Linked DNA regions of Schizosaccharomyces pombe. The protein of the gene in region 2 purifies or fractionates together with the protein of the main gene of each other region. This does not show direct contact. Each region holds a gene or a part of one and is shown on either strand. Other genes may lie near its edges.

Evidence for each region.
Region 1: the proteins of clc1 (region 2) and apl3 purify together in Schizosaccharomyces pombe (co-purification; one study listed by BioGRID). This does not show direct contact.

The regions. Positions count from the first base shown.
Region 1 is NC_003423.3:1,421,385-1,430,211, reverse strand, and holds apl3 (AP-2 adaptor complex subunit Alp3), read left to right. Parts: upstream 1-2,764; 5' UTR 2,765-2,905; coding exon 2,906-5,542; 3' UTR 5,543-5,984; downstream 5,985-8,827. Other genes in the region: ATP-dependent RNA helicase Mss116, read right to left, coding at 1-1,423; drp1 (RINT1 family protein), read left to right, coding at 6,303-8,339; palmitoyltransferase Pfa5, read right to left, coding at 8,429-8,771, 8,821-8,827. UniProt on the Schizosaccharomyces pombe protein: Adaptins are components of the adaptor complexes which link clathrin to receptors in coated vesicles. Clathrin-associated protein complexes are believed to interact with the cytoplasmic tails of membrane proteins, leading to their selection and concentration.
Region 2 is NC_003423.3:1,823,125-1,830,315, forward strand, and holds clc1 (clathrin light chain Clc1), read left to right. Parts: upstream 1-4,028; 5' UTR 4,029-4,038; coding exon 4,039-4,728; 3' UTR 4,729-5,074; downstream 5,075-7,191. Other genes in the region: mrpl10 (mitochondrial 54S ribosomal protein uL15m), read left to right, coding at 1-576; Nop52 family nucleolar protein, read left to right, coding at 1,438-1,480, 1,525-1,632, 1,689-1,977, 2,160-2,373; mdl1 (peptide-transporting ATPase), read right to left, coding at 5,536-7,191. UniProt on the Schizosaccharomyces pombe protein: Clathrin is the major protein of the polyhedral coat of coated pits and vesicles.

The DNA of each region.
Region 1 (8,827 bases), 400 kb from region 2:
CAATAGCAGATTCATGAATGTTCTTACCGGTGGCTCGTCTTTGGGACGAACCAGAGAAGACATGAGGTTTAGACCCATACAGAGTTTTCAAAGCATTTGTACGGGAAAATTTCGATGACTTTTCAATATCCGACCTCAAAGTTGAGAGAGCTTGATCTGATAAGGGCTCGATAGTTGCCCGTTTTAAAGGTAAATGTTTGATACTATTTAAAAAAGGTTTCTCTTGTTCCAGAAGAATTAAATATGCCTCTCCTGTTTTACCAGCCCTACCCGTACGTCCAATTCGATGAATGTAATCATCGGTATTGCTAGGACCAGTTATTTGGACAACCTGGGTAATGTTAGGGAAATCCATTCCCCGTGCGACAACATCTGTAGCAAATAAAATACCACTTTGACATTTCCTAAAGCTTTCTGTAATAGATCTACGCTGCGCAGTAGTTAAACCGGAATGTAAAATAAAGCAAGGAATCTTCAAATGATTTTCTAAAACTCCGCCAACAAAGTCAACCATGCTTATGGTGGGAAGAAAAACGATAATACGACTTGAGGGATTTGAAGAAGTGAGTTGTTGTAAAAGTGAGAGAGAAGAAGAGAATACCTTATCGAGCTTGGTTTCTATAACAAATTGGGGCACACGCTCATGCGTAGGAGGCTCGTTTGGATCCAGACAGTTTATGAGCTTAAAATCAGTCCCAAGAATTCCACGAAAAACGTTAGAGACTTTTGGCGGCATTGTTGCACTAAAACACAACTTCCTGGTCTTAGTAGTTGTGACAGCTTCATGAATGTTCAAAATTGACTCAGCAAACCCCATATCCATTAAACGGTCAGCTTCATCCAAAATGAAAGAGTCAGTAGATAAAGATTCAAGAATCCTTGGATTCTGAAGGTGATCTTCCAAACGCCCAGGAGTTGCAATCAGAAGATTGGCATTACCACGACGAATTGCATTTTCCTCTCTCATCTTTGAGTTTCCGCCAATGGCATAAGAAACGCGGATTCCCGTCCCATAAGTCAATTTTCTAGCTTCTTCAAAAATTTGTAAGGCCAATTCTCTTGTCGGGCTAAGGATTACGGAGTGAATTTTGGAGGAATTCAAACGTGGCTTTCCCTTAAGCACATCTTTAAAGGCCACTAACAAGAAAGCCAAAGTCTTTCCTGTACCTGTTTTTGCCTGCACTACAGCATTCTCTTCGTTAGGAAAAACTTCATTCAATACCCGCTGCTGAACTGGAGTCATTTTCTCGAACCCTGCGCGAGACAAACTATTTTTGAAAGTACTAGAAAGAGAAGCAACCTCTGAAAACAGCGTTGGTTGCTGTGATTTCATTGTCGAGTTCCATCTTATAAATCCTTGAACTTTGGGTAAGTTAAATCTCCCAACAGTTGAAAAAATAGCTCCTTTCAGTGAGATATTCATTCTCGACTTTCTGAACTATACTGCTTGTATTACCAATTGACTCAAAATTACGAAGAAATAAATATACTTGTAACTCAATATAGTTCAAAAAAAAGTTCCAAAAATAATGGTTGTGGAAGTAGGGATACATGAGCCAAAGAAAAAAGTTAAGAGGAATTTTACAAAATTTTAATCTTCAGTAAATATGGTATTTCCTCAATATTATGAAAAAAAAGGAATGTTTAAAGCGTCATTTCATGTAGGAAATCCAACTTTCAATTTTTCTTCGATTCAAGATTGACAGCTGTTTTAACACGAACTCTTCAGCTAAAGAGTTGTTATATATAATTCTATGTAAAAAAATATTTTAGGAAAGTAGTTATGTATTGAGTTTAATTGTATCCTTCAATTTATGTCTATAAATCGATTCCTGTAATGTTTTCAAGCTTTAGTTATAGTAGTTCAAAATTTGAAAGAATTGATTGTTTTTTCCAAGTTCCAAATGCATCTTATTTTGTTACAATTCTTATAAAATAACTGGTTCATTTTATTTCAGCCATATTTTAAGTCCAATTTTATTGAAAAAAAAGTGGGAAGATACAACCTGAAAGAAAAGATTATTGAGACAACAAAGTCTATAAAAAAAATAACTGGTTTGCTTGCATAGTTGCCCCATGCAAACAAAATCGTTTTTATGAAACAAAGCGTGAAGACTAAAATTATTAGACACGTTATAATTTAATGATACTTCGTTTTGCTTCTTTAATGGGAGAAATTAGCCTCCAAAAGCAAAATAAGACTTGTCAAAACCAATTGATATTCCAATTGTTGAAAAAAAGTCAAAGGCCCTTCAGTATCCGGAATTATTACGGCTTCATGTATAATATGATTTAATCCATTTCACTCGGAATCGGCTTACCTGCTAACTATTTAATACAGATTTATCGTTTGAGAGACACCTTGAAGCTAGAAAATGTTTTGAGTTTTCTGTAAAAAGTAAGAACACAGCAAAATATGCTTAAATTCAATATTGGATGGCTGCTCTAAATGAAATGTTTTGTACTGATGCTCATAAATTAATTTTCTCATCCACGCAAACCCAAGTCGAATATTTTAGGCACATGTGTTTGTATGAAACAGATGAAAGCATTTTCTATTCAGTTCCATTACCCGGCTTTGCATTCATCACGTTTTTTCTAAAAATTAATCTTTTGTTTACTTTGGTATATAAAGTAATACTAGGTAGTACGTTGTTTTGAAAATCATGGGCTACGTCCCCCTACGATAATTTCTATTAACGAAAATGAAGTTAATACGAAAAAGTATTGTTTGAACAGCGCGTCGCTTCTTACAACTTTGTTTGTTCTAAGCCAAAAGCTCAATTGGTGGGTATTTGGATATAGTGCCATTGTAATGAATCTTTTGGGTTGAGTTTATAAGAATATTGCATGTTACAATACCGATAAAAGTGTGATTGCTCACAAAGTATACAAATAGTAAAAAATGGTGGCTAGCAACAATATGAAAGGGCTTCGAGCGTTTATCTCGGATTTGAGAAGTTTAGAGCATGACGATGAAGAGAAACGTGTAAATGTTGAATTGGCTAAAATTCGTGCAAAGTTTCAAAGTTCTACTTTATCTGCGTATGACCGAAAAAAATATGTCAGCAAGCTTTTATATATATATATGCTGGGTTATCCCATCACTTTTGGCCATATGGAAGCTGCAAAACTCCTTTCAGGGACGAAGTATAGTGAAAAACTCATTGGTTATTTGGCAGTTGCTTTGTTGCTAAACGAGAACCATGAGTTGATGAAGTTGGTTATAAATAGTATTAAAAAAGATCTTTTGAGTCATGACTCTTTACAAAATTCGTTGGCCTTGCATACAATAGCCAACATTGGTGGCCGAGAATTATGTGAAACCGTGTACTACGACATCTATAAACTTCTAATGTCGGCAAGCAACGAAAATATTGTTCGTCAGAAATCTGCCTTAGCTCTCCTACATATTTATCGAAAGTTTCCGGATCTAATCAACCCAGAATGGTTTGAGCCGATAGTTATGATACTAGGTGATGATGACCTTAACGTTTCGTTGGCGGTCTCTAATTTTGTTAATTTAATCGTAATTCGGGAGCCAAAATATCAAAAATTTGCTTATGGAAAAGCGGTTGGTAAACTGAAGAACATAGTTTTTGAACACGGTTATTCAAGTGACTATTTGTATTATTCTGTACCTTGCCCTTGGCTACAGGTTAATCTTTGTCGTATTCTACTTGCTTGCGAAAGGCCTTCGGACAATCCCACAAGGGCAACTCTAATACGTGTACTAGATCGAATCCTTAGTTTGCCAAATGATAACTCAAACGTACAACAAGTAAATGCGGTGAATGCTATCCTTTTCGAAGCCATCAAACTGGCTTTTCTAGTCGACGAATCTCATTCTTTGTACGAAAAATGTATGGACAGACTTGCTGACATGATCGCTGATAAAGAAAGCAATATTCGGTATTTGGCTTTTGAGACGACTGCCTATCTAATTTCATGCGGACATTCTATCACTTCTTTAAAGCATTATAAGGAATTAATATTATCCTCTTTGAGGTACAAGGATGTTTCCCTTAGAAAAAAAAGTTTAGAACTCTTGTATATGATGTGTGACGAGGAAAATGCTAAACTCATCGTTGCCGATTTATTGCAGTATTTACCACATCTTGACTCAGTAACTCAGGAGGATCTTATTTCTAAGGTTGCCATAATTTCAGAGACCTTTGCTACCGACTATGAATGGTATGTCGATGTTACTATACAACTGCTTCGGATAGCTGGAAAATCCGCTGATGATGGCGTCTGGCATCAGCTAGTTCATGTCATTGTGAACAACGAAGAAATCCAGGAATATGCTACCAAACGGCTATTCAGCTTACTACAGTCTGAAACGATTCATGAATGCTTAGTCAAAGCTGGAGGTTATGTTCTTGGTGAATTTGGGCATTTAATTACCGATTACCCGGACAGCCAACCTGTTCATCAGTTTTCTACAATTTATCGTAAGCTGAATGTTTCTTCTCCCAGTACGAGGGTTCTGCTTTTAACCACTTTAATCAAACTGGCAAATTTGCAGCCTGAATTGAACGATAGAATTGCGAAGGTTTTTCAGGAATATTCTACTATTATAAATCCAGAAGTACAACAAAGAGCATGTGAATATCTTCAACTTTTAAAAATGCCAAGGGACTTTCTCCAATTGGTTTGTGATGAAGTTCCCCCATTTTTAGACGGAAATCGAGATGGAGTGCATCCAAAGTCACGTCCTAGCAGCAAGGTAAATTTGGTTGATACCTATCCTCAAACCATTCCCAATGTTTCCAAACCATCCACGCCCATTGATGTTCCAGAATATGACATATCAGCATGTCTTCCTGGGTTTTATCGTTTATGTTGGAAAGATAAGGGAATTTTGTACCAAGATTCTCAAATACAAATTGGTGTTCGTTCAGAATATCACAATTCAGAAGGCGCCATATATTTGTATTATGAAAATCGACAGTCAAATACGTTGAAGTCACTCTCTTCAACGTTAATTAGAACCTTTTCTACCTTCCATTTAGCAACAACTTTTCAAGATACAAATTTGCCATCAGGAGTTCAACTTCAGCAAAAATATGTTATGAGTGGAGTTAATGAGATATTCGAACCTCCGATTATTCATGTGTCTTATGTTACTGGTGTTATACGTTCGATAGACCTCCAATTACCGGTTTTGTTATCAAAATTTATGAAACCGACAATATTTGACAGCTATGATTTCTTTAACCATTGGGGTCAAATGGGAGTGGAAAGGGAAGCACAGTTAACTTTCGGACTCAACAGCAAAGATAGAAAGCTTGACGCAAAACGACTGACAAAAATAGTTAGTGGATTTCACTGGGGAATATGCCAAAATGTTGATTCTATTGCCCTTAATATTGTAGGAGCAGGAATTATTCGATTTGGTACACAGAATGTTGGATGTTTACTTCGTATTGAACCAAATTACGAACAAAATTTGATTCGTCTATCAATTCGTTCTACTAACACTTCAATAGCAAATACGTTGGCAAAAGAAATGCAAGAGATTTTAAGGAATTCGTTTTAATAGTTGTCGCTGCTACTCTCAAAAATTTTTATTGATTGTCATAGCTTTAATGCCTATGCCTCTGTCCACATTTGATGAGTTGAGTATCTCTTAGTGAAGATTTACCTTGAATTTTATTTTATATACTAACTTATACCCCTTTTATTGGAAGTACGAGAGTACAATACAATTTTAATGTATTCGAAGTGCTGTTCAATGATGTTTGTTATTTTATCTTTGTTTCTTTATATCTATTTGCTTTAGTGAACTTCTTCTAAGTGAAAATACTTATACTGTTTTTAATGGATAAAAACTCTTCCTTATTTGGCACACGCTAGGACATTAAACATCTAAATACTCTGTCTCGAAATATGCGCAGTCGATACCAACAAATCTTAATGTCCTTAATAAAAGTAATATAGACCTGAATAATTGAGACACTTTTTTGCTATTTATATCGTATAATTCACTTCTTTTCGTAAAAGCGACGAAGTGTAACCATCAGCATATCTTTGTCAAATATAACCCACTCAGAATCACAAGTTTGGAAGTATAAGCCAACAATTTATTGAATATTAATTTTTGTTTAATAAAAACTACTCACTTTATATTGCAATAGTCTTATTGTTTAAAACTTCAAACTATATGATATTAGCAACATTAGCGAGCACCGTAAATAAAGTCGTGCCAACACATTGACTATTCCAAAACTGTTCAGAGAAGTAAACAAAGAACCAAATAGCAGCTGAAACTTCATTGAAGGGTCACCTAGGACTTTTTGATGATGTCCCAACAGTTAATTGATTTTATTGATTCAAGAACACGGCATCCTTATAAGTCAGATGAAGTAGAGAAATTTCAACAAGAAGTCAATGAGCTTCAGCTTCCGGATCCTAACTCACTTCCTATTTTAAGCGAAGAAGAAAAGAGGCAGGCTCGCGAAGATGCCGCATTTCGAAGGTCTAGTGAAGGGCTTGAAGACGCATGGTTAGATTCAGCAATACCTGCCGACCCGACGCCTATTTTCCGAGACACAGTTGAGTTATTATGCGTATATCAATCCTTTGTCAAAAAATCGGCTTCTCTCGATACTGTTGCAAATTTCTTAGACTTTTCTACCGATTTTTCGACATTGTCAACGAAGAAAGATGAGACAGAAATTGCACCTGATTGTTTACATTACATAGCCGAATTACTTTTTCAGAAAAAGGAAAGAGAAGTGAAAGAAAAATGGAAGAACGAGCTCACCGAAAAACTTAAGACATTATTTAATTGGCCTGCTATTAACCCTAACTTGAAGGAATCATCAAAATTTGAAAGTTTTTTTGGTTTTGTCCGATCCATTCAATCGTTTAAAGATTCTGAAACAGGTCTTCCATTATTTATGCAGGTGTACATTACCCCCTATGTAAACCAGTTTCGTTACCACTTTATGTCTCAGAAGCAAACAAATGTATTGTCAAAACCAGAATGGTTTTTTGAGTTCTTACTAAAAGTTTTTCGCTCTAATCGTAGTTTCTACATGCTTATGCGTGATATAAAATTTTTTCCCGGCGTCCCTCCATTTTTTACATTTATCAATTTGCTAAACAACGTTGCAAAGGAAAAATTAACGCATATAATAAAGTATGATGATTATTTAGTTCATTTAGTTCACGAAACCCTACAATACTCTGTGCGGTTGGAGCAACATTTTCATTATACCCAAGACCCTTTAATTATTTTTCTTTTTGAGCAAAACGGAACTTATGATAAATGGTTGGGTTTAGAGACTCAATTGAGCCTCACAAAGTTGGAAGATATAAAAATTGCATCAGATGCTTGGGAGCTGGAAAGCGATCAGTCTGATGATTTCAGCTCAGCGGTCCCCACGAAAATGACTGTACGATTTCGAGACATGATTGAGACGACGTTTTCCGTGCTTCAAAATTTACCATCTCTTGATTATCAATTTAATTTTTGGCGATCTGTTCAGTTAAAGCCTATGATGCAGTATGTTAATTGGTTGGAAGCCTTTTATGAATCTCATGAAAGTTCATCATCTATTCATTTACCTGGTAGTCTGCAGACAGACAAATCCAAGTTTGATATTGCTGAAGTTGAACGGATGTGTAAACTTTACAGTAACTTCAAGTTACTCATGGATTGGCTTGATGATATTGAAGATGAGGATGTCTACATTCGTATAGGACATAAAATGGGATCAGAAAACTATGCGGCTTTTTATCAAGTCAAACCTAGATTATCTACTTTAACAAATGGATCTTTTCGCATGATTTTACGTGCAGTTTCGCAAACGTTAAGGCCGTTACTTGACAACTATTCTGACCTTGATACATGGGTAATTAAGGAACAACTTCCTGGTGCTGCTCTATTATCAACATCGGTTTCTGCAGAAATTGTAGGATTTCAGTCCAGGCTAAAAGAAATCATTGCACTGCTCCAAAAGCTTTTGATTGGCTCTTCTCAATGCGAAGCTATATATCAGATTGGAACGTTAGTTGAAAGTTGGATGATAAAAATTGTTATGACCCACCAGTTCAGTGTGAGAGGAGGTGTACAATTTGCAATGGATGCAATGCAGATTGTACTAGAATTTTCAGACTATCCTTTGCTGAAATTCGAGCGATTAATGTCAACTGTTGAGCTACTATCTCTGGAATCGGGAGAAAATAAGCTTATTAAAAAACTAATTATCGAGATTAATCAAAAAAATTATGACTTCATAGATGAATTTTTTAAAACAAAGGAAATTACGCTTTCCTACGAGGACGCACTTGGCGTTTTATATCGGCGAGTTGATGCATGGAAGGATTAATTATTTAAATATTATCTGACTCGAATGTTTCTTTTTTTTTAGAGAATCTAGAAAACAAAGATAGTAACGACATTAATAGATCATAAAAATTAAGAATTCATTGATAAAGCTTTTGATTGCATTTTGCTGACAAAACTTGGACTATACAAAAAATGCTCACCGTCACCTGGTGATCTACGAAGCGGCAAAATCCAATTATACCAATGATCTCCCATTACTGCTCTCCAATTCTCAGAATAGCCTCGATCCCATGGTAAATCACCTGGATCACTTTGAACTAAAACCCTAGAGTCCATGTGCTCGGGGAAAAAGACACTGAAGGAGTAGATCCGTGTCTTCCAGTTTTTAGCCTCATGGCTGTTTATATTTAATAAAAGATATCCCGTGTGTCTTACCAACATTACACCCAAAAATAAAACTCCAAAGGCGGAACTATTGATATAATATTGTTAGCTGTTATGGTGAATAGGGTAAAACTTACAACACAA
Region 2 (7,191 bases):
GGACGTGGTCATAAAGGATCTGGTCAAAGGCGTGGACGGAGAATTAAACCTGGTTTTGAAGGTGGTCAAACTCCTATCACCAAATTATTTCCTAAAGTTGGTCACAGTACGGGACATTTGAAGAAACCGTTGCGTCTGGGGTTAGGGAGAGTTCAGGAATGGATTGATCGTGGTAGATTGGATGCTAGCAAGACAATTACTATGAAAGACCTCCTCGATAGTAGATGCTGTAGAGGTATTAAACATGGAGTTGAACTTACTGCTGACGAACCTGGACTCCTTAAAACAGCAATTTCCATAGAAGTTTCTAAGGCTACAGTTCAAGCTATACAACAAATCAAAAATGCAGGCGGCAGTATAACAACAGTATATTTCAGCCCGTTGGCGCTACGTGCCCATTTGCATCCTTCAAGTTTTCGTACACCTCCTCGCCCTCCCCTTCCAGTTTCAAAGAAAGACATACGCTACTACACAAATCCACATTTTGCAGGGTATCTTGCCAACGTTAAAAATATTCGAGAGCTATATTATGGCGACCAACGATTCCCCTACGAACCGATTGTTAAAGATAAATAAGTAGTTCCCATATTACATCAGAACTTGATATATGTTCATCAAAAATCCCGCTTTCCTAATATGTCCTTAAAACTTTGTTATGTCTATTGATGATTCCGTGCAGCCTCCTTTACTTTCTTGGATGGGTTACATGTTGAGTTTTGTAAGGAAATATCTGCATCCTTTTCTTAGTACATTTGTATAATTACGTTTCCAATTTCGGTGTTTGAGCTCTCTACTGACTTTTTCGCTTACAGTTCAATACCCATTAGTAATATTTTGAATACCTTTCTCATTCGAAAATATAGCTTCCTTCTTTATCCCCCAAATCCCCTTGTTGTAGTCAGTTCATTCTCTGTCAGATAAACCCTTTCTCACATTTATTCATTTGCTTCATTAGTAGATTTGAGCATTCGCAGTCATGCACTTTTTTTGTATAATCAAGAACCCCTGCCGACTGTTTGTTAAATTATTATCTTTTGCCTTTTTTTGTTTAAAGCTTTCTTAAAATTTTTTCATCCTCCGATTGTCTATCCAACAGGAAAAGATCTTTCAAAGGATCTCCTTTTCAAAGGCATGCAAGGAAGAAGAAAAAGAACATTTGTTGATCAATGGAACGGTTAAAGACTTATATATAAGAATGACTAAGAAAACCGGCATTTGTAATAGAAGTGTAAGCGAACCATAGTAGTACATTAACCTTATGATCAATTAATCTACATAAACGGTCAATTCTAAAAAAAATAATACATATTGACTGGGAAACTCCTTATTTCATATATTAGAAAGGGACATTTATCAACTCTCCAATTAGTGCACTAAAACGCAGTATGGAAGGAACGATGCTAAGAACTGCTTCAACACTTTGTCAATAAACCAACAATGTCGGCTCCGTCGCCGTTTATTAAGAAACTTGCAGCTAATGGTAAATTTCTTACATATAAATGATTAATGTACTAACACTGTAAGATCGAAAAACTCGTGATAAGGCTCTTGAATCGTTGCAGCGGTTTTTAAGCCAAAAGAAAAAATTTGAAAGGTTAGACTTTCTCAAGCTTTGGAAGGGCTTATTTTACTGTATGAATTTTTTTGGGTTATGAATGTAAATCATCTAATTGTTTTTTAATATGCAGGCATGTGGATGGCTGATAAACCCTTATACCAACAGAAACTCTCAGATAATTTAGCCGCGTTGGTTCCAATTGTCTGGATAGACAATAGAATATTATTTCAATCTACTTTTTGGGAAACTATGGGTCGTGAATGGACGGGAATTGATATTTTACGAACAGACAAATTTTACTTGTTAATGCGTAGATTTTGTGCTGCTGCGTTTCGGGATATTCAAACAAGAAGTAAAACTGCTTTGCTGGACAAAGTAGTGGCTGAATATAATCAGATGTGGATGGATGGTCCTTTTAAGTAAGTTGTTTTCGTTCCCGCGTGTGGGAATTTGTTTATTATATAGATTGCTTTTGCGTTGGAGACTTTTAGAAAAGTTTTGCAACGCTTTTACTTCCTGCTTACATCAAACTTGTTGAATAGCTATTTCTTAATTTTTATCATTTTTCTGTTTATTTGGACAGACTACTAACTGCTTTTAGTACCGAAAATCTTGCTTTTCCAAATGGGATTTTATTCCATTTAGCTGATATATGGACTGAGGAATTAAGAAAAGTCTACCCAGAAGATGTACCAAAAGCGGACTGGTATCTTCCTTTTGATTCTACAATCAAGTCAAGTCATAATGTTGTCTTAAGAAAGACGCTTCCCAAACGTCTTGATCGGGTTTCTGAATATACAAAGGATTCACAATAATTAATTGATTCGGCACGTTTATTAGGTTTTGGTGAACTAAAAAAATATATTGGTGGTAATATACAACTTGTGGTTTGTAATAGACATTAATTATTCATATGATTGAACTTTTCATTTCCGTACCCCTACAACAAAAGTTTCGTAGTAATGCTGTTTCTTTTCTTTCTTAAGAATATCCAGATCGTCTTCATGTAGAGTAGATATGTGCTTATATTTTTATAACTCTTAAGAGGTGAAAAGATATAAGTAATCGATATTTACATCAAGTTGTAAAAAAGTGTAAAAACATGGGCTGTTGTGGGAATCGAACCCACGACCACCATCACCCTAAGATGGTATCATACCACTAGACCAAACGGCCACTATTGATTTATGTTGTCAAAAAGGTTTATACAAGACAAATGAGAATCGTTATATTTGATTGTTGCTTGACTTGTGTTTTAAACATTCCTAATGAACATTCGTAATCAATTACCCGACGTGCTTAGCAATAAATATTGGCATATACATTGCTCCCATTCGAATGCATAGTTGTATAGTACATGTACAATCAGGCCGCACAAATACATTCAACAACTGTAAGGTTGAGTAAAGATAATTACTCAAATTTAAAGACTTTTTGTGAGTAAAACAGTCAGATTGCAGTAAGACCTCGATATCATAATTAACCTCTAGAAATACACCATGTAGGAGTTTAAGATATTAAAACATACTATGTAAAAACGTTTTAACTGTCAGCAATACTACACTACGCTATGATACTCCACGTTGCATATCACTATATGTCACATGTTCACAATGTTCTATTTGCTCTATCAACTATTACATGATAAGTCATCAAGATGGAGATATAATATCATTCATGATAAGATAACTATCAGATATAATTCTTACTACTTCAAATATTATAAATTGAGAACAACTGAACCTCGTCCCTCAGTTCAGTTATAAGCTATATTAGTGATAGGTAACATTATAACCTAGTTAATACAATACCTATACTCAGTTGCTACTCATACAACCTGTGTATTGTAATATAATAGATCACAAGGAAAACTCACCGCAGTTCTATGTATCCTTAAATCAGATACCAAACTGCGTAGCTTACATTAACGCATTAATCTGATATATTATATTATTTTAACGTTGGACAAGAAAGTGAATGTTGCACGTTATATTATTTCAACTGAAACTTCTTCCTAAAGCATTTAATTTTCATACTAAATGCGACCGGAGTCACTAATAATTCGGTAGTTATAAGATCCTTGAACAGTGTTTGCTTTAATGTCTTGGCGTTCCTATTTGACAAATCTCAAACTCCCGACTTGATCAAACTAACAAAACTGTACCTCGTACTGCGTTCACTGTCATTTTTATGTTTCATGTATTCATTTTTGTAAATTATAAAAGATGGTATACTTTCTATCTATCTTGGTTTAGCGAATTTTTTTATAAGAAAAAAAACCTCAGTGTTATAGATGTTTATTTTTTAGTGATATATAACGAAAAATAAAATACTGGCTGAATTTAACGATTTGGTTTATATCATTGACACGTTAATATAAATAGCGAAAGAAAAGACGTTTCGCTAAATTATGCTACACTCAGCAAAGCTGCTGTCTACTTAGATGCAGATACTACCACTTTCAACCTTTACCAACCACCATGTCTCAATTTCCGGCTTTAGAAGACTTTGACGACGGTTTGGTTACCGCTCCTGTTGATGACTCTAAAAATAATACTGATTTCTTGGAACGCGAAAAGTTGGCACTTGGAGAGGATGCTGGACAATTCGAAACACCGGAGGATAAAGACGCGTTGTTGAATTTTGAAAATGATTCGGAAGCTGAACAAACTAGATTTGAACAGAACTTTCCTCCCATAGATGCTGAAATGCAAGCCTCTGGTACCTTTTCCGCTCCGAAAGCTCCTTACATGGGTCAAGCCGAAGTTCATCCCCCTGAAGACGAAAGCGGTGACCCCGAACCCGTTCGCAAGTGGAAAGAGGATCAAATGAAAAGGATCCAAGAAAGAGATGAGTCTTCCAAAAAGTTGCGCGAATCTAATATCGAGAAGGCCCGCAAGGCTATTGATGATTTTTATGAGAATTTTAATGATAAGAGAGATAAAGTCATTGCCAAGTCGAGAAAAGAACAAGAAAAACTGTTGGAAGAAAATGAAAGCAAATCTACTGGAACTACGAGCTGGGAGCGTATCCTGAAGCTTATTGATTTATCCGATAAGCCTGAGGCTCATGGCCGCTCTACAGAACGCTTTCGTGAACTTCTCATCAGCCTTGCAAAAGATAGCAATGCTCCTGGTGCTGCCGGCACAACTGTATCCTCTTCTTCTTAGAGATAAAGCTCTCCAATCCTTTTTGCTTTCAATGCTTGCACACTACCCTTCCTTTTGACACAATTAGCAGTGTTTAAAATAATATCTGACTAAGAATTTTTTTTATAATTTATACTTTTTTAAGTATTCAGTTCTCATATAAAATTCTTTGTCTACCTACTACAGATTTGTAACTATACTTTTTCTTGGATCTGTGCTTTGATATTTAGGGTATGTCTGTTTATTCGTCCTTCCCTTATATTGCGTTTCATAACGGTATGCCGTCTCTTGGTGTACTGCTTACCGCTTTTTATGCTTGTTGATTTTGTCGACTTTCCACCCTTTAATATGATTTCTAAAATTATTTAAAAATACTTGAACCTTTTACCGTTGTAGCAAATACTGAACGTCCGTACTGTAGTTATTTCATTTAATGTGATTTGTATCTAGCTTCACTTCCATTTGCCGCATAAACTACTGGACGATTTTTCATTGTCGAGATTTACAAGCGTAACGAATTTTGTGCAATTAATATATATTCTCTCTCTTTTAATATTTGCTCCTTTCAAACTTAAGTTTGCTATTGGGGTTTTAGATTTTACAGTTTCTTCTCAGTTGATATTGCTTAAAGGAACAATTTCCGCAGCCCTTTCTTTAAATGCCAAACTAATTACGGAACTGAATATTATTAATTTGCTAATCTTATATGCCAGCGAAGAAAAAAAAGAATAGAGTACCGATGTATTTAAAGATATGATTGAAAATTGCGTCTTGAGAGTACGCATGAATAAATTAATAAAACGAACAAGAGATACTTCACGTTTACGATCAAGGTTCAACTTTTCCAAGCTGCCATCTCATTAACTTGTAAAAGTTGGTACCAGGACGAGACAATCGTTCAAAAGACCCTTGCTCCAAAACTTTCCCGTCTCCAACAACAATTATTTGATCAGCTCGGCGAATAGTAGCCAATTTGTGAGCAATCGTAATGGTAGTCATACTACGATTATGCATCAAAGATTGAATCGTTTTATCCACCATTACTTCTGCTTCACCGTCTAATGCTGAAGTAGCTTCATCCAAAATTAAAAATGCTGGATTTCGAAGAAGTGCCCTAGCAATTGCAATGCGTTGTTTTTGTCCCCCGCTTAGTTGTAAACCACGAGTCCCGACTTGCGTAGACCATTTCTCCGGGAAAGAAAGCACAAAACTACAATTCGCTCGTTTGGCAGCATCTTCGATTTCCTCTTGAGATGCGTTAGATTTACCGTAAGCAATATTTTCGCCAATTGTACCAGAAAATAAAACCGGTTCTTGTCCAACTAAACCAAAATGACTGCGCCATTGATGAACATTATATGTAGAGATGTCAACTCCGTCAGCTAATATTTTCCCACTACTAGGTGCGTAAAAGCGCAAAAGGAGCTGTGAGATGGTGGATTTTCCACCGCCACTAGGTGCGACTATAGCAACATTGGTGCCTGGATGAATGTCGAAAGATAAGTTATCAAATATTGAAGCTGAAGGACGAGTTGGGTATGCAAACCCAACATTTCTGAACGAAAGTATTGCCTTTCCGACTGTGACTGGAACGGGAATCCCAACGGTTGGAGCTATCTTCGGTTTAGCATCTAAAAGTTCAAATAACCGACTAGCAGCTCCCAGACCTTTCATAATATCAGTAAAACATCCTGATAAGCCAACAATGCTTCCACCGGCATAAACGGTATACAGCAAAAATGAACTTAGCTGTCCTACAGTTATATCACCTGCAGCAACCATTCTTCCGCCTAACGCAAGAATAGCGATTACAGTTGCGTTCCCAAGGAACCCTGTTGACCCGAAGAAAATACCGCTAGCAAAAGCCTCTCGCTTTGCCAGGACAAAGAGATTTCGAATGTAATCGTTGTAACGATTTACTTCTTGTCTTTCTCCTAGAAAAGCCTGTGTAGTCCGAACATTTGCGAGTTTCTCTTCTGAAACCCTTGTTAAATCACCGAGAGCATCTTGTGTAGTCCTGGAAAGTTTCCGAACATACTCTCCATAAAAGAAAGCTCCCAATGCAATTGGGGGTACAATTAGGGACATATATCCAGTGAGTCTCATGGATACGTAGAGCATCATCCCTATTCCAGCAATTGCACTAACTGAGCTACGAAGACCATCACTTAAGTACATTGATAAAGACTTACCGACAATACTCGAATCCGTCGTAAGACGGGATATGAGATCCCCATGTTTATGAAAGTCAAAAAATGCTCCATCTAATGACATGCATTTAGCAAACAAGCGTGCTCGAAGACGACTGACAATTCTTTCACTCAGTAGACGCAAGGTGATGATTCTACCAAAGTTACAAGCTGAACCAAGGAAAAATAAACCCAACAAACCAATATAAAACGTACCAGAAGGAATTCCCATGATATGCGTGACAGAAGAATCGCCTGACGAGCCAGCGTCTAAGATTTTGCCAACAATGTAGGG